Astyanax mexicanus: one gene and its partners. The protein of the gene in region 4 interacts with the protein of the main gene of each other region in a pairwise test. Links are inferred from orthologs where the notes say so. Each region holds a gene or a part of one and is shown on either strand. Other genes may lie near its edges. The genes, in order: si:dkey-174m14.3, pdlim7, cdr2a and enkd1.

The links.
Region 1: the proteins of enkd1 (region 4) and si:dkey-174m14.3 interact in binary tests that used the Homo sapiens proteins (3 or more experiments, as listed by UniProt). The two-hybrid records come from large-scale screens. The link is inferred for Astyanax mexicanus from reciprocal best matches to the Homo sapiens genes ENKD1 and BEGAIN.
Region 2: the proteins of enkd1 (region 4) and pdlim7 interact in binary tests that used the Homo sapiens proteins (3 or more experiments, as listed by UniProt). The two-hybrid records come from large-scale screens. The link is inferred for Astyanax mexicanus from reciprocal best matches to the Homo sapiens genes ENKD1 and PDLIM7.
Region 3: the proteins of enkd1 (region 4) and cdr2a interact in binary tests that used the Homo sapiens proteins (3 or more experiments, as listed by UniProt). The two-hybrid records come from large-scale screens. The link is inferred for Astyanax mexicanus from reciprocal best matches to the Homo sapiens genes ENKD1 and CDR2.

What each region holds. Positions count from the first base shown.
Region 1 is NC_064408.1:87,188,791-87,196,098, forward strand, and holds the start of si:dkey-174m14.3 (brain-enriched guanylate kinase-associated protein), read left to right. Parts: upstream 1-4,307; 5' UTR 4,308-4,533; coding exon 4,534-5,370; intron 5,371-7,308. UniProt on the Homo sapiens protein: May sustain the structure of the postsynaptic density (PSD).
Region 2 is NC_064426.1:2,414,572-2,422,512, reverse strand, and holds the start of pdlim7 (PDZ and LIM domain protein 7), read right to left. Parts: upstream 3,003-7,941; 5' UTR 2,851-3,002; coding exon 2,830-2,850; intron 1-2,829. Other genes in the region: cltb (clathrin light chain B), read left to right, coding at 5,383-5,521, 7,615-7,664, 7,883-7,941. UniProt on the Homo sapiens protein: May function as a scaffold on which the coordinated assembly of proteins can occur. May play a role as an adapter that, via its PDZ domain, localizes LIM-binding proteins to actin filaments of both skeletal muscle and nonmuscle tissues.
Region 3 is NC_064410.1:7,015,556-7,022,854, forward strand, and holds the start of cdr2a (cerebellar degeneration-related protein 2), read left to right. Parts: upstream 1-4,299; 5' UTR 4,300-4,513; coding exon 4,514-4,595; intron 4,596-6,316; coding exon 6,317-6,429; intron 6,430-7,299. Other genes in the region: mfsd13al (transmembrane protein 180-like), read right to left, coding at 1,268-1,423.
Region 4 is NC_064419.1:252,800-260,525, forward strand, and holds the start of enkd1 (enkurin domain-containing protein 1), read left to right. Parts: upstream 1-4,716; 5' UTR 4,717-4,801; intron 4,802-5,216; exon of another isoform or gene 5,217-5,352; intron 5,353-5,658; 5' UTR 5,659-5,680; coding exon 5,681-5,765; intron 5,766-5,943; coding exon 5,944-6,171; intron 6,172-6,568; coding exon 6,569-6,741; intron 6,742-6,878; coding exon 6,879-7,031; intron 7,032-7,172; coding exon 7,173-7,315; intron 7,316-7,519; coding exon 7,520-7,656; intron 7,657-7,726. Other genes in the region: vdac3 (voltage-dependent anion-selective channel protein 3), read right to left, coding at 3,907-4,007. UniProt on the Homo sapiens protein: Microtubule-binding protein which regulates microtubule organization and stability. Promotes the stability of astral microtubules and facilitates the proper orientation of the mitotic spindle.

The DNA of each region.
Region 1 (7,308 bases), on a different chromosome or scaffold from region 4:
CTGCATATTCAAAAACGCTTCCCATTACAGAAATAGTGCAGTTTATAGTGTCAGCTGTTTTATTGTGTTGCTTGAAATCTCACTGAAATTTCACTGCCTATTTAGTTCACGATTCCTGAGAGGGACCTAGACCTATAATTGAAACACACACACACACACGCATAGACACACAAACGAGGTGCTGCAAGATGCCAGGTTTGTACACAAAGTACACAGATATGCAAAAGATAGCAAGACAAACAAAACCAATTCAGATTTATACTTACATTACTGGCTTTCAGTAGTCTAGACATTCATTACCTAACAACTATATCTATATTTCATTATATAACAACACATCCAGTCAAGTAACAGAAGTGTTGATCTAGAAAAAAACAAACATGATGAAGTGCCCAGTTAGGCAATCAGTATTGGATTGAATGTGATGAAGACTATTTAACCCTATATGGTTCACGCTGTGCAATATATATATTTTTTTCTGCCCCTGCCATTTAAACTGTCCACCACTAGAGAGAGAGGTTAGTTATGCTCTTCGGGACTCCGAGCCACAAATGGCTGTGGCATCACCAGGGACTGAACCTGTGATTTTCACAGAGCCAACACCTAGATGCCTTCAATTTAAAAGAGTTGCACTGCCGGCGTCTCTGTAGATGCTCTAGTGTCCATTCTACTGTAAACCCCCCTGGAATAAAAGAGCTTGAGAGCTTCTCTTCGTTCACTGTGAGTGGGGGAAAAAGCATCCTCCAGCTCAGTCGTCGCCAATTATCCCCTCTTCTCCTGCGTAGTAGGAATCAATTCCTCATCCACAGGCTCTCCAGGGGCCTTTCTCCTCATCGTCTTCCTGTCAGTGGCGAGGAGGCTAAACTGGCCCCCAGCTCCTCCAGAGAAACAGAGCAGATTATTAAAAACATTTATCATCGCAGAATGTTTAAACCGTCCACTTTATTACTAGGTGGACATGTTCAGGAGACCGCAGGGTCCACTCCGGTCTCGGCTCCGACAACAAACGGCAATCAGAATGAGTCTGCGGGGTGGTTTGTTTATTAGCAAGAGAGGCATAAACAGCCCGGCAGCGAGGGGCGCTGTAGAGCCTGCTCCTCCAGGAGTTGCTATATTTAGCTTCAGAAACTTCAAGCAGGCTTTGATTAGAGCTCGGGGTGCTTTATCTCGGCACAGTGCCGAGCTGCGTGAGCAAGCTGTGCCAACAGCTAGCATGTGTTAGCATTTGCCTCAGGCTAACGTGCTAACATATCTCAGACTATTTTTAGATACGCAACTCCAATAAAAAGGGTTCAACCTACATCACGGGACATTATATATCAAAAGTGATGAAATAACATGGCCATGCTATTCTAAAGGAAAACAAACCATTAATTTATGCAAACTAAGCTGCAAAAACAGCATTTTTTAAATCACTGTTTCTCAGCTGTCAGCCTACCAAGGTTTAGACCCTTCTATTACATTTTAGCACATTAATCGTATATAGTAAAGCACATTTAGGTTTATAATAGAGAAAGCTCTGAAGCAATCATCTAACCTACACATCAACCCAAATTTAAAATACAACCTACTGTACCTAAACCTAAACTCAAACCTAATGTACACCTCAACCTAAAACTAAACTTAACCTACACCTTAGCCTAACAATATAACCTTAATATATACCTTAAACTAAAGCTAAACTTAACCTACAACACAACCTAACACATATTTGGTTCTACCACATTTAGCTCAACCCATTTATATTACAGTTCTCAGGAAAGTTAAAGCTTTGGAGTTATTTTTAATACTCATTATCAGATTCAATACCACGTCATCTGTCAAACTTGGTGGAGGGTCAAAAGCAGTTTATGGGTCAAAGCACATATTGGGTGATTTATTTCAAACAGAAGCAAAATGTTATTTATAAATGTACAAAATACTAAATATAATGATAAAGGACAGGATGTGACATAAAAGTCTCAGCATTTACCTTCTAAAATATCTCACATTACATTTTTTTTTACATAAAATTAATCAAATCCATTGAAGAGACTGATAAAAAATTCTTATAATCTTATCTTATTTTACATGATAAATATTACATATACAGTGGTATGATAAGGTTTGGGCACCCTGATCATTTTCATGATTTTTCTTTATAAATCATTGGTTGTTCAGATCGGCAATTAAAGTTAAATATATCTTATAACAGATGAACACAGTGATATTTGAGATGTGAAATGAAGTTTATAGGTTTTACAGAAAAAGTGCAATAATCATTTAAACATAATTAGGCAGGTGCATAAATTTGGGCAGCCTTGTCGTTTTATTGATTTGAACACATTTAGCACTAATTATTGGAACACAAAATTAGTTTGGTAAGAGAAAGGGTTAAACCAACTGCTTTTTTTTTTCAAGTTTCTCTTCTCTTTGCATCTTTTATTGAAGAGTGGCAACATGGGAGCCTCAAAACAATTCTCAAATATCCCGAAAACAAAGATTGTTCAACATCTTGGCTTAGGGGAGAATACAAAAAGCAGATGTCAGTTTCCACTGTGAGGAACATAGTGAGGAAATGGAAGATTACAGGCACAGTTCTAGTTAAGACCCGAAGTGGCAGACCAAGAAAAATCTCAGATAATCAGTGGAAAAGGATGGTAAGAACAGTCATAGTCAACCCACAGACCAGCTCCAAAAACCTACAACATCATATTGCTGCAGATGGAGTCACTGTGCATCGTTCAGTTATTCAGTGAATTTTAAACAAGGAGGCTGTATAGGAGGAATGCAGAAGAAGCCTTTTCTGAGCACACGCCACAAACACACAGCATTCCAAGACGAACACTTGCTAGCCACAGTAAAATTTGGTGGCGGTTCCATCATGCAGTGGGACTGTGTGGCCAGTGCAGGTACTGGGAATCTTGTTAAAGTTGAGGGTCGAAATAATTATTGAAATAATTATTGCACACTTTTTGTAAATCCTATAAACTTAATTTCACTTCTCAAATATCATTATGTTCATCTACTATATGATTTATATTCAACTGAAATTGTTGATCTGAAAAACCAACCAAACCTGAATTAGAGAGGAAAATCAAGATAATTATCAATAGTGCCCAAACTTCTTCGTACCACTGTATCAATTTTGTTTTTGTACATTTCAGAGATTTTCAGAAAAATCTGCTGTGTAAATAAAAGTTCAGCCTGCATTACCAGCCTGCTGCTCTCAGCACTGGTGCCGAATCTGATCGCTCCCAGCAATCAGGCTTTGTGTTTTATCTGCGATCAATCCTCACAGCAGGATGCACTGACCTGGAAAGCGTCTGAAAAAGAGAACACAGGCAGAGCTGCCATCAATAGACGGCCTAATTAAAGCCATAACTCTTGAAAACACTCTCACTGATGACCTGGCAAGTCTCAGTTTTACATGGGTTTAGCCTCATTAGCTCTTCTTTGTGGGTCACATGCTTTGATTTGGGGGGGTTCTCTGAAGTGTTCCCTCACTCGGCAGAACGGTGGGACTGCGGGGTGTTGGAAACACAGTCACACCGAGCACGCTAACGGTGTGAGCACGAATCAACTCACATGCAGGGTCACTCTCTGAAGCACTGACCGTAACTGCAGGCTGACTTGTGCTGATTTTAATCAATCTCCAGCACACACAAAAAAAGGTGTACAATAATGGAACCAATTCTCTTGCTGTATAGAACCACTTTGAAAAAAGTCATTTGAAGTAATGTAAAAGAGAACTGCTGAATTGTTAAGATACAATTTTAACAATTCTAAATATGGAACTGTTATGGCTTAACTAAATGGTATTCTACTATGGATACAATTGAGCCTTTCCATTAAATAACCATATACACTCTCCTCAAAAAGTATTGGAACAGTGAGGCCACAATACTTAGTTGCATAAAATTTGTTTGCAATAACTGCATCAATGTTTGACCTATTGCCATAGTTAAACTTTCGTGTTCTTCTTTTGTGATGTTTTTCAGGCTTCTGCTGCAGCCTTTTTTTAGGTGGTGTTTGTGACTGTATCAACCATTTCTTTGTTTTGGGAAAAATCTGTCATTTTACTTTACTGTTGTATATTATTTTATTTTACATGTCCTAATGAATGAAGTATACATTTTTACTATATTTTTTAAGGGGAAATATTATAGTTATTTTTAAAGGTTTTATCAGAAAAGATGTACCAGATGTATCAGGTATTGTTTTATTGCTTTTATTGTTGTTACTTTTAAGAAATTATGCCTGGCATAACATAATTCTTATCTTATAACAGTTTAACAATTGTTATTATTATCATTATTTTTATTATTATTATTATTAGTCAGCATCTCAATTCTTCTGAATACATAAAAGCAGAAAGGAATGGCCCAGCCTGATGCCAGGCAGAGACCACTTATCCTACATATTGAACGTTGTGGTGTTTTTGGGACACATTGGGGTTGAACAGTTTAAAATCAGTACTGCGCAGCCATTAGTGTCCAAGCCATTTGTGTCCCAGCCTTCGATGCATCCACTCCAGTTGTGCAGGACAGCAGCATGCTGACCAGCAGCTTCTACACCGAGATTCGGAGAACATCATGGAGCTCCACCACCACCTCCTCTACTTCCTCCTCCTCTGTTCATCCTCAGCCTCTCCACAAAGGTCCAGCATGGCCTCCAGTGTCCTTCAGCAGCTCCTCCAGCGCCTCCTCCAGCAGTGTGGGCTCCAGCAGCAGCTGGGACACCGTGGGTTCAGACGCTTCCAGCGTCCAGCAGCTTCTGCCCAGAGACAGAAAAGTGGAGCACAGCGAGGATGTCCAGCAGCACTGGCCGAGCTACAGAACAGCTTCATGTGGGTCTGAGGGAAGCAGCGACCAGCAGGGGGCTGCACTGAGCTGGAAGCAGGGCCAGAGGGGCTCTGTCCTAGGACTGACCACTGGACAGGAATTGGCTCTAATGGGCGGGTCGCTGCAGCGGCTAGAGCTAAAAATCGAAGCCAAATTGAAGTTCTCCCAGTTCCTGGACGAGGTGAGCCACCAAGTGCTAAAGCCCACCAGCTTAACGGCCTTTAACTGCCGCAGAAGGTCCAGCTCAACAGACTCCACCTACGTCCGACTGCAGGCCCCACGGGACCAGCCAGAGAACAGGTCTCAGCAGGTCAGCATGCAGGAGACAGTGGGCAAAACATACCTGGAGACAGACATTGACAGTGTGTTTAAGGGCGAAGAGCTGAAGGAGGTGAAGGTCAAAAAGGAGACGGCCATAACGTTTGAAAGTAAAGATGCGAAAGATGGTCCAGCCTCTCCAGAGTCCAGTTCTGGATCCTACCAGAGTTTACGGAGCTTCACCAAGAGCACGCCCAGAGCTGTTGCCTCACCCAGAAGCATCCACAAGGTGGGTTTACAAATAGAAGGCCTTCTTTAGAACACCCACATGTTTTTAAAGTGATAGTTTTGTTTAAAAAATTATATTTAAATATCATAGTCCACACAGATATAATGGATCAAATGTTTTTTGAATTGCTTGATTAGATTTTGGTAGTGTTGACTATAGTCACTTTCAGAAGCAACTTTAGGAGGTCCATAAGCCCACATTACATTTTTTGTTCATAACAAATGTTAATGTAAATGCATGTTTGATTTAGTTTGTTTTTTGTGAGTGACATGAACACACTGCAGTGATCACTATAGCCTCTGACACCAGCATGGCAAAAACCAAGCTGAGCAAATAATTGTGTCCTAGAAAGTAGAACGTTCTTGTTAGATGTCTAAATGTTTAAGGCATGTTTTGGGCAAGGTATCACTTTTTCAGCTAATTTTCCTTTGGTGCTATGAGTAAACGTGCATATGTGTTATCCTGTGTGTTTGTGTGTGTGTTTGTGTGTGTGTGTGTGTGTGTTTGTTTGTGTTAGAGTAGTAAACAGTGCAGGCTGGCCTGACTCATCCACTGCTCCTGAATCAGACTGTTATCAGCAGGAGCTTCTGCATTACTCTTTCCCTCTCTCTCTTTCTCTCTCTCACCCTCTCTCTCTCTGTTTCCTCTTGCTTTCCCTCTCTCTCCCTCTTTTCTCTCTCTACTTTTTCCTTTCTCTTCTATCTCTCTTTCTGCCATGCCTCATTTCCCTGCCTCACACTGTTAAACAGGCTTATAGAAACCACACTGCAGCAGACTAGCTTTGCACAGTGCCACTTAGGCCCATGCACACTCAGTTTTCTGATGGGGGTGGAGGGGGGGGCAACCTGAAATAGTGACAGTAATGCAAATTATACTTGCATTTATTTATGCAATTGCAAACAATCTTGTGACACCCTAGTTGTGTTTCAGAGGAGAGCAAATATAGTGATACGAGATACTGAAGGCAGTCTAAACTACACTTTAGACTTTAAACTCAGTCACATTGCTTAGTCCCAAACCCTGCATTAAGACGTTTTCCTGTCTGTTTTTTTTATATGCAGCTCATGTAATTCATGTGAATCCACTAGATAGTTAGTGGAGACTTGCCAGAGCTGGAGCCATACTCACTTACTTTGTTAGACCCACCTCTTGCTTCCAGAACAAGTGTGTTTCAGCCTTATTGAGCTTACAGTACAGAAGCAAAGCAGTACTTAGTGCTTACGACTTACAAAATCACTTCATGTTTTTAAATTTTAATTAATTTATTATGGATACTTTCAAACTTCTTGAAAATTAATCTCCTTGAGTATTCTTTATTCTGTACTAATTTAATCAAAATAAAGCTAATCAGCATACACAAACTCCATATCTTCAAAAAACAACTGATGCTCTCAATCACATTAAGAGGACAAGAAATTTAGGTAATTGTTAACTCTTAAAAAGGTACAGCTGTTAACTGAAAGTCATTCTAGGTGACTACCACATAAAGATACAATGCCTAGATATGCAAAGCTGTCATCTAAGCAAGAGGTGCTTACTTTAAAAAAATCTTGATTGTAAAACATATTCTTGTTTGTTTAACACTTTTTTTTTACTAAATAATTAATAGTTTGGATGTCTTTAGTATTCCTCTACACTGCAGAATTTTAAAATAATGAACAAACACAAAATTTAAAGTGTGTCCAAACTTTTTGTTCCACTGCAACTCACTACATGTAATGGACAGAAAAGCCGTGATGCAGGTCCGGCAGATGTGCCAATATAGCACAAGGCGTGCTTCTTGGTATAAGTATATTAAACAGATGTGGCACTGCTAGTAAAATATTGAAGCATTGACATTTGACATTTGGCACTTCTAGGGGTAGCTCCCAGTCTTGGACTACACAGGTTTTTAAATGTAGATTTCCCATTGAAAGGAAAATAAAGTCTATGACTAGA
Region 2 (7,941 bases), on a different chromosome or scaffold from region 4:
GCAGGGTTCACATGGGCATGGCAAGTATAGGTTGCAGTTTCCTAGTCAAACCTCTTCTCAGTACTCTCTCCTTCTTTCTGGTAGCAATACATAATAAGCAGGACTGAAGCCTTCCAACACTCCAACACTTAAACATGAAATCAAGAATCTACAAGAGTTAGTGTTAGTGACAAAACAGAAGAACCACATGTGTAGCACGTGTGTTACACTAGAGCACTATTAGTTTATCGTGATCTTTGAAATCTTTGATTTTATCAAATTGAAAACCTCTGGAATATAATCAAGAGGAAGATGGATGATCACAAACCATCAAACCACCAAACTGAACTGTGTGGAGAGTGGTGTAAGTGGTGCAGTGTGTAAGACTGGTGGAGGAGAACATGATGCCAAGATAAAGCATGAAAACTGTGACTAAAAAACAGGGTTATTCCATCAAATATTGATTTCTGAACTCTTCCTAAATTAATATGAACTTGTTTTCTTTGCATTATTTGAGGTCTGAAAGCTCTGCATCTTTTTTGTTATTTTAGCCATTTCTCATTTTCTGCAAATAAATGCTCTAAATGAGAATATTTTTATTTGGAATTTTGGGAGAAATTTTGTCTTTAGACTTATATTGGTGTGCTGCACCACATCAACCACTAATACCAAATTAATAACCAATTTACATCCCATTTGTGTCAAATGATTTGGAATTTAGACCCAAATTAAAAGGTTTCTCTCAGCCTGATAAAACTCACTCAAACATCTTTAATGTGTTGGAATTTAGACAAATGGACAACTTATTCTTTCTATTTTAAAAACTATTTAGAGGCTATTTTATTGCGTTTAAATGTGTTTAATTGCATTACTGCCCTACACATCTAATTACGTCTATTTGGGATTCAGACTAAATTTAAAATGGGGGTTTTCTCAGGCCGAGAGAAACTAAAACCTCCCTGATGAGTTTAAAATAGTTAAAATAGAGTTATCCCCTCATTCTTACACAATCAAACCTCCTTAATGTGTTAAAATTGGGATTTATAGACTACTCATTCTGTCAAGTTGGGTGCATACCAAAAGTAAAATGCATTTTTATCAATTTAGCATGCTTTTTATGCTAAATATGTGTATTTTTGGGATAAAGGCCTTTTCACAGGCTGACAAAACTGAAACCTCTCTAATGGGTAAAAAGTACATAAGGTCAGTCTTCTAAAAACTAAGTATGTGCCTATTTAAGTTAAGTTTTAGACTCAATCTAACACAACTCAAACCCCCTGAATGTGTTTAAGTGCATTAAGTCACTGCCCAATACATCCAATTAGTGTCTATTTGGGATTTAGACCAGATGAAAAAGCTTGTCTCAGGCTGAGAGAAACTCAAACCTTCCTAAAAACTAATGGGGGTCGTGTAATGACATGTTGGCTGCCAAGAATAATGACAATGAAGCGTAATTAAGGGTAATGACCACTTCCCGAGAGGTTCAACAGCACTGCAGCAGCCACAGTGTAAACTGCTGCATGAGCAGCTGTATGAATGAATGAAACTGTTAATGAATAGCTTGAAAGCTGTTATTATTTTTTATTTTTTTTAAGTTTTGTGGGTAGAGAAGCCTGAAAGAAGAGCATAAAGCAGATAGAAATACAGTAGGAAAGTTTAAAGCTAAATTGTAGTGCTGTAGTAATACTACTAAAAGTCTTGGTCTTGAATCAAATTAAACAACTTTAAATCCTAGAATCAACTAGTAAAAATCTTGGTCTAGATTCGCATCTGATGCGTCCCCGTCTCAGTATTGACTCAGACTGAATACTCAAAGCCTCAGTCTTGGTTCAAACTTAACTATTCAAAGTCTTGGTCTTGACTTGATTTAAATTACTAAAAGTATTGTGCTTGACTAAAATTAAACTCCTAAAACCCTTAGTCTTGACTTGATTTAAATTACTAAAAGTATTGTTCTTGACTAAAATTAAACTCCTAAAAGAGTCTTGAATCGGGCTTTTAGTTTCCCAGTTTTGTTTCAAACTCTAAAACTATAGAAAGTCTTGGTCCTGACTCAGATCTGATGTGTACTGGTCTCAGTCTTGAATTTGAATCGACAACTCAAAATCTTGGTCTTGACTCAGACTCTACAACCATGAGTCTTGGTCTAGACCCAGACTATACAACCTTGAGTCTTGGTCTAGACCCAGACTATACAACCTTGAGTCTTGGTCTAGACCCAGACTATACAACCTTGAGTCTTGGTCTAGACTCACACTCTATACCATGAGTGTCGGTCTAGGCTCAGACTCTACAACCATGAGTCTAGGTCTAGATTCAGAGACTAATTACTCAAAGACTCAGTCTTGACTCAAATTCAACTACTCAAAGTCTCGGTCTTGAATTAAACTACAAAAAAAATCCTGGTCTTGACTGAAGAATAAACTAGTAAAAATCTTGGTTGTGACCCACATCTGATATGTCGCGTTCTTGACTAAAATTAAACTACTAAAAGGCTCAGTTTTGACTAAATTGAAACTAGCAAAAGCTTTGTTTGTGACTAAAATTAAACTACTCAAAGCCTCAGTCTTGAATCAGGCTTTTTGTGTCCCAGTTTTGTTCTTGACTCAAACTCGGCTATAGAAAGTCTTGGTCTTCACTCAGACGTGATAACAGTTACTGAAGTCTTTGTGTTGACTCGGATCGGATGTGTTTTGAGTATAAAACTATGTTTCTGGCAGTTGTTGATAAATAAATCTGTAGGTTAGTGATTGTCCGCAGTGTTAGTGTTGTTAAAGCTGTTTTAAACTCCGCTCTGAGTGTTATGGTTTTCTGGTTCAGTAAGAATCTGCAGCGCTGGTGATGAATTACCTCCTTGGTGTCTCCGGACATGGTGATCAGGCTCCGGGCGGGCGGCGGGTGGAGGCTGTAGGGTAGCGGGGCTGGAGCTGTAGTGTAGCCGGGTTCAGGCTGTAGTTCAGCGGGGTGGAGGTTCGGGTAACTCCGCTCAGCAGCGCGCGCTCTCCCTCTACCACCACTTTTAGCAGGACTCACCGATACGTCATCCACCACGTGTGCGCGTGACGCGGCGCTCTCCGCTTGCCGTTATTTTTTTCCCCACCGGTTTTCCGACATGTCCCGCCCCTGCGGGCCTCTGACTGGCCTTGACGGTTGATAGCCTAGCTCTCTGATTGGTTAAAAGTTTGTACTCAGCGTTCACTACAATGCTATCTGTTTAGATAATATTTATCATTAATTTAAGATACTAATACATTATTTTTTAGATGATATTTCCTTATTTCGAGATACAAAAAAAATGTTTTGATTAGCTAGTATCTCATTATTTTACTATCTTTAGATATCTCATTATTTCGAGATACTAATGTATTGTTTTGAGATAAATTCTCTTTTTTTTAGATGCTATGGCATTATTTTGAGAAAGTAATTCATTATTTTTAGAAGCTATCTCACTAGTTTAGATGCTATCTCATTTTTTTGGAATATTAAATTATGTTTAGATATTAGGCTATTATTTTTATATATACTAAGTCATTTGAAGATGATTTTCTTACATAATGACAAATATCTTAAAATAGGGACTTTTATCAGTGCCACAAGTAGAATCATTTTTTGTTCCATAAATAATCATTTTTGTTGTATAAAAAAGTTTATATTAGTTATTAATCTTAACATTCACTTATTTAAACCTTTAAATATGAAACCTTTAACTTATACTTATTTTACTTATTTGCTTCACTTTTTTCACTGTGCAACTATGTGCAATATATACACGGCAGTACAACAGTTATATATTAACTGTCACACCACACTCATATTTCTTTTGTAAATATGGCTCTTTATAGAATTAAACATTCTTAATTGACAATATTTTATGTGTAAAACCAAAGCTGATTTTTTTCCTTAAATTAGTCCATTTAGGATTTAAAATAAGAACTCAATCCTCCCCAGTGTGCTGAAAGAGTGTGAGGGCTGATAGCCTCGCACTCTTATTGGCTAAAAAGTTTGCAGAGGCGTGGCTTTGCGTAAACGGGTGGGTAAAAAAACAAGGTGTGTCGTGCACCTTTATACTGTGAACTTCTAAGCCACACTTATACACGTATTACACACATACAGTCACGTAGTGAATCAGGAAACCCCACGAAAACCTGTCTTTTAATATATAAACCTTTTTCACAATACTAATTAATTGGCACAATAAACACATAACAGAGAAGGTAAATAATTTTATCAAAAGTATTTAAAATGAATTTCTAAAAATGAATGAATAAAATAAAACAAAACCCCCCATTTTGTAAATTGCTTCTGTATTTTTATTTAAATTGGCCTCAATTACAGAATTAATTAAGTAAAAAGTAGTTTTAAAAGTGAATGCACCTACAATGCAAGCACATGTAAAAAAGGTTAAAAAAATTCCCAGATTTTTTTTTTCCTTTTTTTGTGTTCCCCATACACTATACACTTTATGCTGAGGTTTATCTGTTCCCTACACACACTCTACAGACCAAACAGAACAAAAGTATAAACAAAAGTATTTTCCTAATGCCGTCCATTTTCACCTGACAAAAAAAAAAAAAAAAAAACACTTGAACGCATGTCGTAATTACGAACTCCAACCTCGAAAGTAGGAATTTACGAGGAGGACTTGAAGGCAGCATGAACCCGCTGATTTTGGCTGATTCAAAAATGCTAAAAAAAAATGGTAGGGGTAGTTTGGGAGGGGCACTGCAGTGATGTATGGGTTTAGGGGCGGGGCAGAAGGAAGAGGTAATTGGGCTGAGCAGTGAGCAGTGTGCCTCTGGACGTCACCAGGGGGGCGATATTATCATACTTGCCTTTAGCAAAGTTAAATATAAGAAGGTGCTGTAGATGTCGAAATGACTGCAATAAAGAACATTTAGGAAATGTTTAATCAGGAATGACATGTTTAATTACTTCAGAGTAACACATTTTAATTTTTAATAAATAAATAAAAACCGTGGTTTAGGGTTTAGTGCCTCTTTAAAGCATAGTGATAAACTCCTAATAATAACAATAAAGGTTGTGGTGAGTGTGTTTACCACTAGTTAAGTACTGTATGTGTGTTCAGTCTGTTCCAGCAGATGGAGACACAACACCATACAATCAGCCCCAGCGTTAGAGTTATACTCTCCTCTCTGAGTTCTGACCTCGGCTCTCCTCCACGTCCCTGTTTTTACTGCTTTTCTGGGACGAAAGGGACGAATTAACCTCCAGCTGACCTGGTTTAAGAGTCCGGCTCGATTCAGGAGATAAACCAACTCTTTTTTCAACATATTTATTTAACTTGTTTTTCCTGCGTTTAAACCTGAACAAAGCCACAGCTGGAGCCTAAGAGAGCCCGGCCGAGGTCTGAGGAATAAAGCAGGTGTTTTCGCCGCGGTGAAGATGGCCGACGACTTCGGCTTCTCCAGCTTCTCCAACGGCGCCGAGGCTGAGGAGGACCCGGCCGCGGCCTTCCTGGCGCAGCAGCAGAGCGAGATCGCCGGCATCGAGAGCGAGGCGGACGGCCTGGGGCCGAGCGGAGGCACGTCGTCTGTCTGGGTGATAGCGTGTTAGCCTGTTAGCTTAGCTTAGCTTGTTAACATTAGAGTCTACACAGATAAAAAGAGTCTGGACAAGGCGATACAGTTAATTTAACAAGGTATAATAAAGCGAAAACAGGATTTTAACGTTTTAACACCAACAAGACACACATTGGCTCCTTAAAAGCGCTTAAAAAATACAAAACAATTAACCAATTTCTAAACAAGCTAGCAAGCTAATGCTAACGCTAAACAGCATCCAGCTGTTCAAATCAAGAGTCAAGTCAAGAGGCTTTTATTGTCATTACATCTGAGTACAGGTACACAGTGTGATGAAATTACGTTCCTCCGGAACCATGGTGCAACATAGAACCACAAGCAATAGACAACATAAAGTGTAGGAGTGACGACAGTGCAACATAAAATTATAAAATTATAACACTAAATAACAATAAATACAATAAATACAAAAGACGAGACAATTTAAAGTCAGGACAGTGCAGTACCGATACGGTATAATAAAGTGTATAGTGAGGATAAGGTGCAGAGATGTGTGACATACTGTAACATATAGAACATATATAATCACAGCAGTTACTGAGGTAGAGTTTATAGTTTTTAAGAGTGCAGCAAATAAAGTCATGTCAGCCTCTGTGTGCTGACTGGGTGTGTGTGTGGGTGAAGTTCAGTTCTTTGTGAGTGTAAAGGGGGGGGGGGGGGGGGTGTACAGTTTAGTTTTGTGCGAGTGTGTTGGGTGAGTGGTGGGTGGGGTGGGGGTTCAGTTCTGTCTCTGTGCGTTGAGAAGTCTGACTGCCTGGTGGATGAAGCTGTTGCAGAGTGAGTTAGCAGTAAATTATTAGTTTGATACCTTGGATACAAATGTAATTTATAAAAATTGTGACGTTCTCTCCTTTTAATACTGCTTCTCTATTTATTTTTCTATTTATTGTAAATTTATGAACACTTTATTTTGTTCTGAGCTGTGATTTTAATAAAAAGGATTCGTTAATCTTGATTAATCTTGAAAATATTGCACACAAGTGTGTATAAACTAATGGGATATATACATCTCTGAAAAAAATTTAGAGAGCACCTCAGTTACTGAATCAGTTTGTCTTATTTTGCTATGTGTAGGTTTATGTTTGAATAAAATGGACATTGTTTTATTCTATAAACTACAGACAACATTTCTCCCAAATTACAAATTAACTTATTGTCATTCAGAGCATTTATTTACAGAAAATGAGAAATGGCTGAAATAACAAAAAATAAGCAAAGCTTTCAGGCCTTTCATATTTATAATCATAAAGTTTAAAGAAAATCAGAAATCAATAATCCTGGTCTTAATCACAGTTTTACACACTGCTTTTGAATAACTTTATGCCACTCTTGTTGCAAAAATTCAAGCAGTTCAATTTGGTTTCCTTTTGATTATATTCCAGAGGTTTTCAATTTGCTAAAAATCAAAGAAACTCGTCTCAATTTTTTTTCCAGAGCTGTAGAGAAAACATTTTTAGGTTTAGTGAAGACAATGGAAATGACAGTTTCCATTAAACTCCAATTAAGGTGGAATATACTAAGTGTATCTTTAGTGGTGGTAGTGGTAGGTTCTGGTAGATTCCAATGCTGTGAGCGTTTCTCTACCTGGTTAGTTAACTAGTATATTACATCTTTACTGTTAAACTTTTGGTAACATAATTACTGTAAGATTCTGGTAGGTTCTAATGTAATGATCATTTAGGGTAATACATCTGGACTGTCAACGTCCCTGGTAGAATATCCGCTGGTGTATTCCACTAGGTTTCAGTGTTTTCAGCACTTTTTATATAAGGTATATTAACACTACTTACTGTAGTACACCTGAGCTTTTAAACTTCTGTTAAAATAACGTCTGTTGCCACCTCACCGAATGAGCAAGCTGATCATTCATCTCTGGTTTACATATAGGACTCAGTAACAGTCATATAGCCGGGCAGGTTTTACAGCATTCCTCTTCTACTAGTAGTTCTTCTGAGAGGAAATACGAAAAGCGTTGCTCAACAAGACCAGAACTCACAGGATTTTACAGTCTGTCTCTCTTCTTTTCTTAAATCAGATGCGTTTGGAGAAGCACCTGCTGCAGCAGTAAACGGAGACATGTTTGAGGTGTGTTTTTATGGTGTCATTTACTTTTTTTTAATTAAATGGAATATTGGATAAGGTAGATAATTTGTATGTTGTAGGCTGTTGTGCTGTAAGTGTGTAGTTTGTGTGTGGTTACTCAGTATAAATCAGTATACTCTGTATAAATCTACAATGTTTACAATGTGACCACCATAGATGGTCAATATATGTTTTCTAATGCTGTTTTATGAATGGTTTAGGACTCGAATGGAGTAACAGACAGCTATGCAGCCATCGCCCAGGTCGACCAGCTGAGGCA
Region 3 (7,299 bases), on a different chromosome or scaffold from region 4:
AATTCATTTTTGCCAGATAATCTAAATAACTTTAATTAAGAACTCTTTGACCAACCAATTTGACCATTTCAGAGTTCTTCCTGGAACATTTCCGATGAGCCTACCAAACTAATCTTGTGTTCCAACAATTAGTGCCAAAGGTATTCAAATCAATACAATGACAAGAGCGCCCAAATTTATGCACCTGCCTAAGAGTGTTTTAATAATTATTGCACACCTTCTGTAAATCCTATAAACTTAATTTCATGTTCATCTGCTTTATGATACATTTAACTAAAATTGCTGATCCAAACAATCAATGATTTATAAAGAAAAATCATGATAATGATCAGGGGTGGTCAAACTTTCATACTACTGTAATTTGGATGGGCTTCATTCCATTCATCAGCATGTCATATTTTGCTGATTAACCTGGTTAGGCTGATCAACCAGTTTAACCAGCTTCATCAGTTTAAGACTGCCTTTTTTAGGAGGGGCATTGCTGTTGTGATGCATGCTACGTGAGAACACAGATAAGTAATAATACAACAAGTATGCCAATTCTGTGAAACAAGTGAGGCTAAAAGATGCAAAGGAGCTTCTGTATGGGACGTAGTTGTTTATATACAGCTTTGGAAAAAAAATAAGAAACCACTTCTGAATCAATGTCTCTGATTTTGCTATTTATAGGTATATGTTTGAGTAAAACGAACATTGGTGTTTTATTCTATAAACTTCGGACAACATTTCTCCTAAATTCCAAATAAAAAATATTGTCATTTACAGCATTTGTTTGAAGAAAATTAGAAATGGCTTAAGTAACAAAAAAGATGCAGAGCTTTCAGACCTCAAATAATGCAAGAAAACAAGTTCATATTCATAAAGTTTTAAGCTTTCAGAAATCAATATTTGGTGGACATAATAACTCTGTTTTCATGCATCTTGGCATGTTCTCCTCCACCAGTCTTACACATTTCTTTTGCTTTTGGATAACTTTATGCGAGAAAAAAAAAATTAAGCAGTTCAGTTTGGTTTGATGGCTTGTGATCATTCATCTTCCTCTTGATTATATTCCAGAGGTTTTCAATTTGAAAAATTAAAGAAACTCATAACTTTTAAGTGGTCTCTTATTTTTTTCCAGAGATGTATATGCATACATGTGGCTTGCAAAACCCCCCTTTAGGGGTACGTACAGAGCTCATACAGTAACGTTACAGCTCTATAGATACACTGGTATTGAGGATATCTCATTATTTGTTTAGGGTCCACAGTGTGCAGGAGCCCTCACCTGAGACTGGTGGAAGGCTGATTCAGATATCCTGTATTTGTTTAGGAAGAGTTTCACGTAGTAGAAGCTGAAGATGCTGTTCATCATGCTGGACCCGAGAGTGGTCATTGAATAGGCCACCGCAGCTGGATGCGCAGAGAGCCTGAAGAGCTTCATGATGTGAATTTGTCTATGATCATCTACAGATTAAAACATTCATAACACACACAATTCACTGTCTGACAGCGAGCTCGGCTAAACTGCTGCCTGGACCTGGATAAACCTTTTTCCGTGTGTACGGAAGAGGCGGATTCCATGTGTACTGGGCGTGTGTCAATCGGAAACAGGCTGAAGGCAGCCTAACGAGTGTGCATACTTGTGCCCTAATAAGCAGTGAATGCTAGTCGAAGCTAATTAACAAACTGCATATTGTATTCTTGCACACTGAGCTAAATCAATTAACTTAACTATAATAAACCTGTCTAGTTACATCTGTTACTAGAGATATTTTTTCCGAACCTTAAAGCCTGATTTAAACATTTAGCCAGTTAGCCTATGTTAAACTTAATAGCTTACTAGCTAGTATCTAGTATTTAGCATTAGCCTGTTTAGCCTGAGTTATCCCTATAAGCTTACCAGCAATAGTTAGTCTTTCTTTGCCTGAATTATACATTTTAATTAGAATTTGGGGGATAATCATTATCTGGGATAATGATTTTAGCCAGTTAACCTGTCACAGCCTTTTAGCCAGAGTTGGTCCGTTTTAGTGTGCATTAAACCTGTTAACCTAGGTTAGCCAGGGTAATCTTTTCCACAACTGAGTTTCAACTTTCAACAGCATGTTTTAACTAAAATGAACTAGATAATCTTTAGAGCAAGAATTGGTTTGTTATATTTATTTTACATTTAGGTCAGTGTTTGTCTGTTTTAGCTAAACCTTTTTAGAGTTAGAGTTAAATCTGGTAACTCAGTTAGTATTAGTCTGTTTAGCCTGGGTTAACCCTATTAGCTAGCTATCTAGGTTATAGTTAGCCTGCCTATGCCTGAGTTAAACATGTTAATCTGTTTTAGGTTTATCAAACACTTTATCCAGTAAGTCAGATTGAATAATTTGGGTGTTTGTTCGTTGATCTGAAATTATTAAGTGGAGTAGAGAGTGGACAGGCAACTGAAAGTTTTTCAGTATGGAAACAGGATTTTAAATAACTTATTAAACTGCAGAAAAATGGGGTTTTGTGTCACCTACCTACCTGTGGCCCATATATGCCAAACGCCTACCTTTCTGAGCCCTATTTGCTAGATTGAACCTGTTTCAGCCTTACATCTGTATATAAACCAACCAAAAAGCAAAATATGGGCCTAGTTTAAACATGATAACATGGTCACAGTGCCATCATCAGATGTTTGACAAAGTCTTTGTAGAGCTTTTAGATGAGACTCGTGTGACTCACAGGTTTACATTGTCAGGCATGTGACCATTAGTTTATACTGTGATTAATGTTTATTTTAGTGTGTGTGTGTGTGTGTGTGTGTGTGTGTGTGTGTGTGTGTGTGTGTGTGTGTGCGCACTGATGTTTGTACACTTTGTACACAGATATTGTACGAAAAATGTTTGACACATACGACACACTTTGCATGTTTTTGTATTGCCTTCTTTTAGGGCTATTTTCCATCTGCTACAACTGTGTGATGGGAGTGATAAGAAACACCTTGCTTTTTATATTGCCATCAGTGTTAATCATCTAGAGGAGGTGTGTTTTCTCTCCCCGAGATAGTCCAACATAGTTTGGTGATTTGTCTGCTCAAACACAGCTGGTTCCACCTAACCGTTAGCTGCCAGGTTCAGTAGTTGGTGTGTTTGAGCAGGAAAGTCACTAAACTTTGCTGGACAGCAGTCCTCCAGGATGGGGATCAAATAGGTTACAGTGTTTACACAGCTTGTGTGAGATGCGACACAGAAGTGTCAGTGTATCAAGAGAGATGAAAAAAGGAAAACAATTATTTTATATTGTATGCTTATAGTTTTATATTGTTGTAAACAAACATTCTCAAGCAAACCTGATACATTTGGCTTCGAATACAATAATTAATCATAATTATTTATGAAAAAAATCTCAGTAAGAATGTAGTTGCAGTCTTGTAAATAGTGACCCTGCAAAATCTCCAGACTTTGCAATATCTTAGCCTGTGACTAGTCTATGACTAAAAAGTCTGTGACTTGTCTTTAGACGTGAGAGGGTGTCTACGAAGCCCCTAAGGTGACATCATGTTGAAAGAACTTATTAGAGCATGGGAATGAGATCCTAATACGTGGTCACATCTTATTCAGGGGTGGGAACAAGATCCTAATGTGTGGGAATAAGATAATTAAGGCATGTGAATTAGATTAATAAGTCGTGGCCATGACTTATTAAGCTGTGGGAACAAAATAATTAGGTCATAGCCAGAAAATAATGAAGCTTGCTTTTCTAGAATTTAGCTTTTGTTTTAGAAGCTTGCTTTTTAATCTAGAATCATGCCATGTCTCAGTGCAAGAGACTCCAAAATATCGCCAAAATTCATTTCAAGAGGAAAATAAAAAGAAACCAATTCACTCTCCATCTTCTTACAAATGATGATCCTTGAATTAGAGATTTGATGTAACATTCAGTCGTCTTCATTAGCATTAATTTAGGGAAAAGCAAACTTTATTATTCTCTGGCTCCAACTTAATCTTATTCCCACACCTTAATTATCTTGTTCCCACGTATTAGGTTCTCATGATGTTAGTCTTTTTAAAGTCGTCTAGTGTATAGTTAGCTTAACCCTCCAGCCTAACAAGAATCAGGACACCATACCCCTAGACGTGCACGCGTAAAAAAACAGAGGGGTAGGGCAAAGAGGAAGGGCCGATGAGTGAAATGGGATTGGGCCTTTGTGTGTAGGCAGCATTGTTGATCTGTTTAGGACATACCCATTTCCTTCCGCCCCGCCCTCTTTCTCCTGATTGGTCAGTGACGGTGTCAATCAAGCGGCCGGGCTCGGTGTTATGGTGCGGATTGTCCCGCCCCCTGTTGCTGCCGCCGCTGCTTCAGTAGTGAGGGCTGTGAATTTGCCACGTTGCTGTTGATGCGGAGAAGCGAGTAGCGGAGCGGCAGCCGGTGGAGGAGGAGGTGGAAGAAGAGGGAAATGTAGCGTCCAGACAAAGAGAGCAGCTGTATGAAGACTTCCAGAACTTGAAACTAATACTCGGTGTGTCGGAGAGAGACCCCCTAAAACCCAGCCAGCATGCTGACCGATATGATAGTGGAGGAGGGATTTGAACACAATGAAGAGGAGCTGTGGTACAGCAGGAAGGACCTGGAGCAGGGTGAGGCTGGGAATGCCAGTGTTTTAGCTAATGTTTATATCTGTTTTATTAACTAAATTAGTTTATTTCTGTTCTGAAACGGAAGTTGGTATTGTTGGAATTGACCGTTCCACCTTAAAAGTAACATGACGAGACGTGTGAGCTTCTGTAACTGCTGCACTATTTAAGGTGGAAAGGTGGAAATATTGTTGGTTTATTGAGATGTTAATGTTAATTTCATGTCTCTATCCAATATCCAAAGACTCTCTCACTGTGTTCTACATCACAGTAACGGTGCTTTGCTGTTGGCTTCCCCCTAAAGCTACGGCATAGTTGTGTCAGCTGAAGGTCACGCCCATAGAGGCCCTTTTAAAGCTTCATTGACTTCACTGCTGCAGTGACTGCTGATGCAAGTGGACCAGCATTGTTGGCCCCTCACTCTTTTAAATAAAGGAGAACCACTTTTGTTTCCAAAAGGCTCAATTTTGTAAAAGAGGTTTGTGTGAATGACATTTTACAGACTTAAAAAATAGTCAATTTATGTGTTCCCCACCAATTCACACTGACGGATCCTATACAAAAATGGTTCTTCTATGGCGTTGCAAAAAAAAATATATATATATACTAAATTTCCTTAGAAAATAATTCAGTTAACCAATCACTGGTTCAAAGTACCTTTCTTTCTATCTAGGCAAATATATATATCAAGTAGCCACAGATTCATCTAAACAATGCACAAAAACTAAGGCAATTTGTATTTGGTTGATTCTTTTTTGTTGGACCAATGCTTCTTGGCTATACATCTTGTACAGTTAAAAAGCCTGTAATTTTATCTTTTTAAATGTTGTCACATTGGTAAGAAACATGCATTTGTTGGATAAGCACTAGAGCACAGTATCTTCTCTGCCATTGCCAAACTTATTCTGCTCATTCTGCTGTTGTTATTGCCACTTGTTTTGTGCTTCTGCTATTCCCAGATTAGCATTGGCCCTGCTAAAGTGGCCAATGGATGACTGCTTCATCGATTGGCATGCAACTTCAAGCTGTTGTGCCACAAAACAAGTTCCATATAATGGAGCGATGTCTGAGACGTGCCACAAAGACGACATCCCAAAAAGATCATCAAGCACAGAACAAGTCAATGGCAGAATGAGCTGTTTGTCATTGTCGGAGGGTAGCTGGTGATTTTTCATGGGAATGACTCACTTACTCAGCTCTGCTGCACATCTCACAAATGCATGTTTCTTACAAATAAAGGAGAAGGGGAAAATAAAGTTTTCGCTACATACACTATATTGCCAAGTTTATTTGTTCACCTGCCTTGCATTTTATGCACTCTTTACTGAAATGTTCAGTTTGTCAGTGTTATTTAAGCACTGACAATATTCACAAAATGTTACACAGTATTTTGTATATCACAATACAGTAAAATATCACATTACCCTCCCCTGGCCTAATGATATTGATGTTTTCTTTTGGAACAAATAGCATGGGTTATTCAATTTGATATGTTTTTTGACAGCCATTTGTATGTTAACGGGTTGCCTTCAAGCGTCCTTCACCAAGACCATATGAAGCAGGCTACTTACGTCTAAAGCAGTCCTTGTAACTAGCTCTTGGATAGATAAGTCTCTTATGACTCATACCTCGAGACTGTCCGGCCTCTGGCTGACAGGATATTCTGTCGTGCTGTGCTTAATGTTTACTGTTCGTGTGTGTGTGTGTGTGTTTCTCTGAGGCAGATTTACATTTGGCCGCACAGCTGGGCAAGACACTCCTGGACCGGAACCATGAGCTTGAACAGGGCCTTCAGCAGATGTACTCCACCAACCAGGAGCAGCTGCAGGAGATCGAGGTTACATTTCCCCTCCAGCTATGTTCTGAAGTTTTTACACTGTTTCTTGGCAGGGATAAGGGGCCCATGTACCTCCACAAGATATGAGCTGAGAATTAAGCTTTTTTAAAAAAAAAATAAATAAATAAAAAGAGGATTAGGATAAAAACTATTTGCTGTTTTGAAGCACTTAGTAATTATACCAATCGGTTTCTGCAGCACAGCACTTTTCTTAAGCCCAAAGACGTTCTGCATCAACAAAAGCATATATAGTTCTGCAGCAGGCAGCGAGAGGACTGAAATGTGTACCAGTAAAGTTGGCACAAGAAAATCTAAGTAATAAGTAGTGGAAAAGTCATTGGACAATAGCTGTAATAGCTGAGAAGCATCCCAGCCAATTTACTCTAGTGGTGGGCTTTGGAAACAATATAGAGTCCTAAATTTAGAGTCACTTTGCTCTGTGATGTAGAGTAATTGACTCTCATGTGTAAACAAAAAAAGCTGTGGTGAATACTGACTGTATACTGGTTGTGAGCAGAGGAACCATCCAAGTCATGGATTACAGCATCTTCATTGGCTAGACAAGAAAACTGACCTGATATGTGCTTTAGAGTCACTCTGGTGGCGTGTTAAAAAAACTTCCAAGCTATGAAATAGAATTGCTTCAGCAGTGGGTCGAGGACAACCTACATGCCACAGGGTAGAGTAACACTGCTGGTGAAGCAAGGAACCTTCCATGTTGTAAAGTAGTGTTAACACTCTACCATCTATTCTAGTGGTGTTATCATACCATATTTTTCGCACTATAAGGTGCACAGTATTATAAGGTGTACTATCAATGAACATCTATTTTCATACATGAGTGCATCGGGTTATAAGGTGCATTTTGCT
Region 4 (7,726 bases):
AGGGTCATCTTCTGCTCCTCCCCCCAGAACCCCTACACCGAGAACAACATACTGAGACCCCACTCAAACATCTTCTCATGATTAGGGTTCTGGTCCAAAGGGTCGGCCTTCTGCCCTCAGGAGAGCACAGCTTTTCAGCCTTGTGTCACACACACACACACACACACACACACACACACACATATATCCCCCCCAACTCCCTAAACCCCCACTCTATAAATAGTGGGGTAAATCTGACACCAGTCTCCATGTGACGGAGAGAAGAGCTTACAAAACTGAAGAATTTATCTCTGCTCTTTCACACATCCTGCCCTACACTCAACTACGGGGGTTCCATATCATATCATACACAATAATATCACCAACAGTTTTTAATATGGTGAACGATATATGGAGATATTTGGAGTGCATTATTATTATTATTATTATTATTATCATGATATTCTGGATCATCGACTTCTGTTACAAATCTGAAAAAAAATTCTTGTATTTTTTAATATCTCAGTTAAGGGTGTGCCATATCATATCATATAATATCATATGTAATAATAAAATTAAATTTTCATTCTGTTGCAGTAGTGTATTGTTAAAATATTTTTTTCAGTGTTTTGTCATAGAGTCGCCAGGAGTATCGTTATCGCTAAAAATACCAATACTGTGATATTATTTTAGGACCATATCGCCCACCTCTACACTCAACACACTGATCAAACAGTGATTCCTTTACCTGACCTGCTCCCACTCACCTGTAGGATGATATGGCCAACATTTATATAAATTGTACACACCTTAATTTCAGTCGAGATTACATACTATACGAATACTAATACTGATATTAGTATGAATAATATAACATCCACCACCTGGAGGACAGAATCACACACTAATACTCTAGTGATGAGATCATCTCAGCACAAGACTGATAAAGAGCCGTCACAGCCCCAGTCTCAATCAGCCTGATCTCTATATCCTATATCAGATCAGTATCAGATATCTACCAATGAACAGATATTATATTATATTAATAGATATAAAAGGAGAGTAAAGCTCCAGTCTGAGTCTGAGACAGAAGAAGAAGGTGTTATGGGTAAAGGAGGAGGAGTGTGAGCTGCTGACACATCAGTATCTGTATCTGCTGAACTCTGAGTTTAACTGAAGCAGGTTTTAGTGTTGAGTAATAATTCAGTATCAGAGCTGCTGACAGGCTGAAACTGAGGGGTGATGATTCTCCTGCTTCAGGTACAGCAGAGCTTTATATACGCTGGTCTAACAATGACCTGTGAGGGCTGGTGTGTGAGGGGCAGTGTGTGAGGGGTAGTGTGTGGTGTGTGTGAGGGGTAGTGTGTGAGGGGTAGTGTGTGGTGTGTGTGAGGGAGGGGATAAGGTCAGAGCGTTACAGAATTAGAAAGATATTAAGCAATCACATTTACTATAACACACCCACTGCTACCGTACTACTGAAACCTGATCAAACACACAAACACACACAAACACCACTGAGCCTGAATTAGGGCCATATAACTGACTCCTAGTCATAATATGTTTCTATAGTTTTATTAGGAAACAATAAAAATGCTGCATTTAACTACAGCGCATCAGTCCAATTCCTCTGAACTAGGAATTGTGGACTAATAATAATAAAAAAATATTTAGTATAATGATGTATATACAGTACCTGCTTAATATGTTTTATGACAGCAATGTCTAAACGTGCCGCTACTTTTTCCAACATATATTTGTAAAATATTTTACTTCTGATAAAACTCAGATTATATCATACATAAATCCCTAATATAACTGTACTTCTCATCACCCACATTTCTATTAAATTCACATGTTCAGTTCTACACCACTCATCTCTAACCACAATACGAAACTACAACAAACTCCTGTAATATTTACCTCTTCTGTGGAAAAGCCATGCCTTCAGAGTGACAGAAAAAAATCCAACAAATACAAAGTTGATTCTGATCATACATCTGAAGCCATCACATAAATTACTTATATTATTATATTATAAGCATGCAATAGTCACATGCAGGGCATGCAATGGCGTGTAAGGAAAATGAAACTTGATTGATATAAAATAAATATTTGTACTGCTTTTAGGTCTGTCACAATAAATGTATCTCTTCAATATTTTTGATAAGACAATTTAATGCCAATTGCACAATAATATAAAATAGCATAATAATGGTAATATACCCTTATATTAAGATTAAGAATATTTTTAAATCATTTATTGTGCCCAACTTGTCAATAAAAAGGAAATCATTAATGTCAGGGTACAAATTGTAAAAAACGGATATTAAACGTATATTTCTTCGGATGCCAATAAACATATATATTTACAGAGAGATGTTGTAGCTGTAACAGGCCAGTGTTTCTTGGTCTTTTTTGGCACATAATAAATACATTAGTATTGGTTTAATATTCAGTATTGGTTCATTGTGCATTCCTAATTTTTAATATTGCCATTTATACAGGAGATTAACAATATACTGCAGTTGCCTTTTTCCAATATTTTGCAGCCCTAATCTATATTGCATATCTGTATCTAACGTAATCAATACTGATCAATACAAAAAAAGCTAATGCTAATGTATTGGAAACAGTGAAATTAAGGTTTCTGCTGTTGATATACAGTAATTGCATCTGAACCCACATATTCACATTCACATTACACACTAACACACTTGTACACACACACAGCAGCTCTGCTGTCCTTCTTTTACAGCCCACTGTAATGCGCATGCTCACAAGAAACATGTACCGTAGCTATAGAGAATAAAAAGACCCAAATAATGTACATATAGTTTATATGTAAAATATATTCTAACGTTCAGATAATACGTTATTTTGCAGTTTACTGTGAGTAAAGTATCAGAGGCAGCTCTGGGCTGTTTCATAGAGGGCCGGTGTTCTGTCGATTTATGCTACCCGTCGATACGTGCTTCCTAAAGGCACTGCGCATGCGCTAACCAGCGCGTTTTAATTATTTCTCGTGCTTTTGTTTTTTTACAATTAATCTGTTACAATCTGAACTCACTGTTATTGCACAAAGGTGTAAAAGGAAGTTAATAATTATAAAAAAATATATATATATAAAAAATACATAAGCAGTTTTGTAAATTACCTCTCATTGCCTTTAAATTAACTTTACCATGATACAGTGATTAATGCTATACAAATATACTAACCTACATCTACTGGGACTTTCACTGCGAACATGCTCTAATATAAAGCTTATTTTGTATTTGTACAGTTAAATATACACTAGGGTAGCACGGTTTGACAAGGTAGCAAAAATCGACACAACACCGGTCCTGCATGCACACAATAGGCTAATAGGCGAGAGGAGGAGGGGGGGATTATTTAATTGCTCTCCGTTACATCAGAGAATAAACAGGAGCAGAGAAAGATAAATATCACTGCGTGTTTTTGTGGAGTTGAGCTTTTATATACGAATAAATTAATAAATTACCTCAGCTGTCAAATATAAAACAGGAGACTGCAGATAGGCAGGCCCTGAATAAACCTCTTATCTCACACTATAGCAGCGATATCGTGTACTATACTACACAAATAATCTCTATAAATAAAATAAATAAGATAATTAAGCTTAATAAGCAGTGTGAGCATTCACACGCACACCCAGCACGCGCACAGAGAACCAGAGAACCGGAGAACCTGCAGGCGCTGCAGGGCTGAGCTCGGTTAGTGCACGGGGCAGGAGTACGGGAGCTGTAACGGTGGCGCGGCCTCGGTAAGAGCCCTGCTGTCTCCCTGTCCTCCTGTCCCTGTCTTTCTCTCTGACTGTCTCTCTATATCTCTCTGTCTGTCTGTTTGCAGGCCTGCACAGTAAACCCTCTGCAGACGCAGGGCGGGTGTTGCTCGGGCTCTTACCGTGCTCTGGTCTCCGGTCTCCGGGCTGCGGGACTCCGGTTCTGAGAGAGGAGGACACACTGAAGGAGAAACAGGCGGAGAGGGCAGGACGCGCCGCGCATGCGCACTCCTCTCACTCTCCCGCCTATCCGATCCCGAGTAGATATTAGGAATAAACGATGTTCTGTCGAGTTATGCTACCTATCAATATGTGCTTCTTTACCGCAACATTTTTATATGGTAATGTTTATAATGTTTTATGTTTATGTCACGATAATTCCTAGAATTCCTAAAGAAAAAAGAAACAAATAAACAGTAAAACAATAAAAATATATAGTTTCTAATCACGTATATGACATTCACTTTTGGACTTTACTTTATACAGTGATTTAGCCTATCCACATATCCTACCTACGCTTTTGCTGAGAGTATTTTCTAATATGGTGCTTTTTTTGTAACGTTACTTTTATCTTAAAAAAATTGTCCTAGTTCCTAGATGATAGTTTTCTACAATGATCTACAATTTAATAAAATTATAATATTAAAATAAAGAAAATGTATGGAGCCCACAATGTGACATCATGTTACATCATTTTTAAAAATAAATTGATTATTATTTTTAACATGATGTCTCCTTAGGGGCTCCGTATTAAAGTATTTCTTTATTATTATTTTGTTGTGTTTTTAATCTTTGTTAATGTTACCGCTTTTAACATTAAGCAACATTTATTAATCGCAATTAATGCAAATAAAACTGTTACAATGTTTTAAAAATGTAATAATTATTAAAGAGGGGGAAAAGCGGCGCTGTGTCTTTAAGCCGTTGCCATGGAGATAGACTCGGCTTGCTGCGTCATCAGGCGGTGTGTTTACGGGGCTGAAAACGGACTGAACCGAAAACGCGTTTAAATTACAGGTAACTTTATTAATCAGCCTGTTATTAATCAGCCTGTTATTAATCAGCCTGTTATTAATCAGCCCTACTGTTATCCGGGTTCAGGGTTAATTTATACACCGCTGAGTAATTCTGATCCGGACCCGCGGTTTAGCACAGCGCTCACACAGCTAGCTTTTATCTGTTATATATACATTATATCTATTCTATATACATTTAACACCGTATTAACCCCGAGAATATAAGTATAGTGCATTGTTATATGTTATAATAAATATATTAGATAAATATTATAAACAGTACTATTCAATGTCTTTCTTTATTTATTAAATGTATTTATTCAATAATTTGAATGTATGTTGGAGATTAATATATATAACTCTGTAGTAAAGAGTAAAAAAGTGTTATTCCTCCACATTAATCTCCTGATCTAAAGCTGATGATCTGAGATGGTGATTTGAGGTGATTTAATTGGGATGAGCTGGAGCTTCACAGCGTGAAGGAAAAGCAGCAGCTATTGTTCAGCACCTCCAGGAACTCCTTCCTTCAAGATGCTGAGAAAACTATTCCAGGTGACTCTAAATCATGAAGATACTGAGATTAAAAAAAACAAGAGTCTGCAGATCTGAACTCAAAGAGAAAGCCTGTGTCCAGACTGGTACTGAACACAAGATGAAATTTAGAAGAAAAATACCCTCATACTAAACAGATTTTAGTTTTTGAAGTGTGTGTGTATTCACTTTGTACAGTGGTATCTTAGTTTTATTCTACTTGTAAACATATTTGTGTTGTAACTCCTATAGTCTGGTGTTGATCAGACGCTGCTCTCTAGGTACCGTCCTCATCATGTTCTTCTACCATTGTAACTCTTGGTTTAGGAATTAAGGGACTGGAGAAATCATGTGTGAAGGACCTTCGATGATCTCTGGGCCCATTCCACCAGACCCCTCCCTCTTCCCCGAATACTACAGACGACCTACTTCTGGTAGGGATTTGGAAGTTATTTCACCAAACAACACCATAATAAAACATCTCTAAAACTGTATTTGTGTTCATACTGATGTCAGATGGTGACTGTGATCAGTTTTTTCATCAATCATTTATTTCCTTTGTGTCTTATCTTAATGTAATGTTATGTACTGTAATGTTTCCTGTCTATGAAGCTCGGGGTCGTCTGGAGGGGAATTCTAAAAGTGGATCTTTAACTCTAAATGGACCCTTAGCCCCAGACCCTGCTCTGCATCCAGGCTGTTACAGCGCCCGCCCCGCTCATCCTCCTCCTCGCATCGGCCCAAACGCCAAACACATTCTAGAAAGAAGCCAGAAAGGAGAGGTGGGGGCTCTCCTTAAACTGGAGGGAGTCTGCCTGAAGCCCCCCCCTGTTAAACACAGTAAGATTTAAAGCTGGGGATCACCACTGATTTACTAAATCCACTGTAAATCATCAATTCTGATTTAAAATATCCCTATTTGATTCAATATCAATTCATTAAGGTACATTTCAGTTACAATTTCAGGTTTAGCTCAGTCCATAACACAAAAAACAGTGTACATGTAATAAAACATACACATCGGCTGTGCTTCTCACACTTTTACACAACTTCAGTATCAGAAATCACTTTAAAAAGGATTTTTTATTCTAAAAATTAAATGGATTGATTTTCCTTTACTCTGAATATTAATATAACTGTGTCTGCATTTAAGGTGCAACAAAAACTCAAAAAAAGGAAAAAAATGCTTCACAAAAGAAGTTACATGTTAAGTTTTCTCTCTTATTTTTCTCCTCAGAACCTGCAGCTCAGGATTATGGGAAAGAGAACGTGCGACGGCTGCGTGAGATCCAGAGACGATTCCGTGAGCAGGAGGCGCAGAAAGAGCGAGCAAAGCCGGTTCCTGTCAAAGCCCTGTGGAGCTCTCCCAAATACCAGGACATCCCCTCCAGGGTCATGGCCCAGTTACAAGTAAGTATTTCATTTTTTTGGATGGAATTGAATGGAATTGTTGTTCAGCATTAATGTATAGTAATAGAGTAATGTATATTGTATAGTTTATAAACTTTGTGTGCTTGTGTTATCTCTTTCTGTACTTCTGTCTGAAGGAAAAAAGCCACCCCAAAAAGGCAGAATGCCAGAACTTCCTAAGAGCTCACTCTGTGTGTGGGGCGGGGGGTCGGCCTCAACCTAGTCGGCCTCAGTCTGTGTCGGCATCACCCTCTGAAAACGGGCAAAAACCTCAAACAGCAGATCCAGAGGTAAACTCACACATTCCTATAAACATACACACTTACACTGTTTATAGAAAACTGCTTATAACTGAAGCGAATGCAGTTAATTTCGTATACAACTGTGTTTTCATGTTATTAAAAATGAATATCTGATATCTCCTGGTGTAGATGGAGGTGAGAGGACACTTTGTTGACTTTGTGAGTCATAATGCACGCGCTGCGAGAAAGACCGCACTGAAACGCTCTCAGTCTCTACAGGACCTGAACAACAAGCAGCCGCCGAGCGCAGTGAAGGGCCGAGTCCCCCAGTAGTGAGTGATCATATCAAATATATTTAACACAGATCATAGAACATACATATTGACTGAGAGTTAAAACAAACCCAGAAGCATGATTGGAGCATTGTCTCTTTATTACAGTATTTACAGTATCTGCCCATATCAGTGTGTGTGATTGGTCATTGGTATGTTTTTTAATTTTTGCTTCTCTCTTCCTCTCTCTCTCCTTTGTTTTAGTCTGGAAGAAAGAAAGGAGCAGTGGAGGAGAGAGGCAGAAGAGAGACGGAGGAACGCTCCTGACCCGTCTGCACCTGCTGGACACACTCAGATGTCCGACAGAGAGAGGAGAGAAACTCTAAATTCACTCAGAGAAAGTATGTTTTCGCCAAAGCTCTAGTTACAGCTAGACCTGTAGACAACTACCGTGTAGAGATTAAGCTAGCT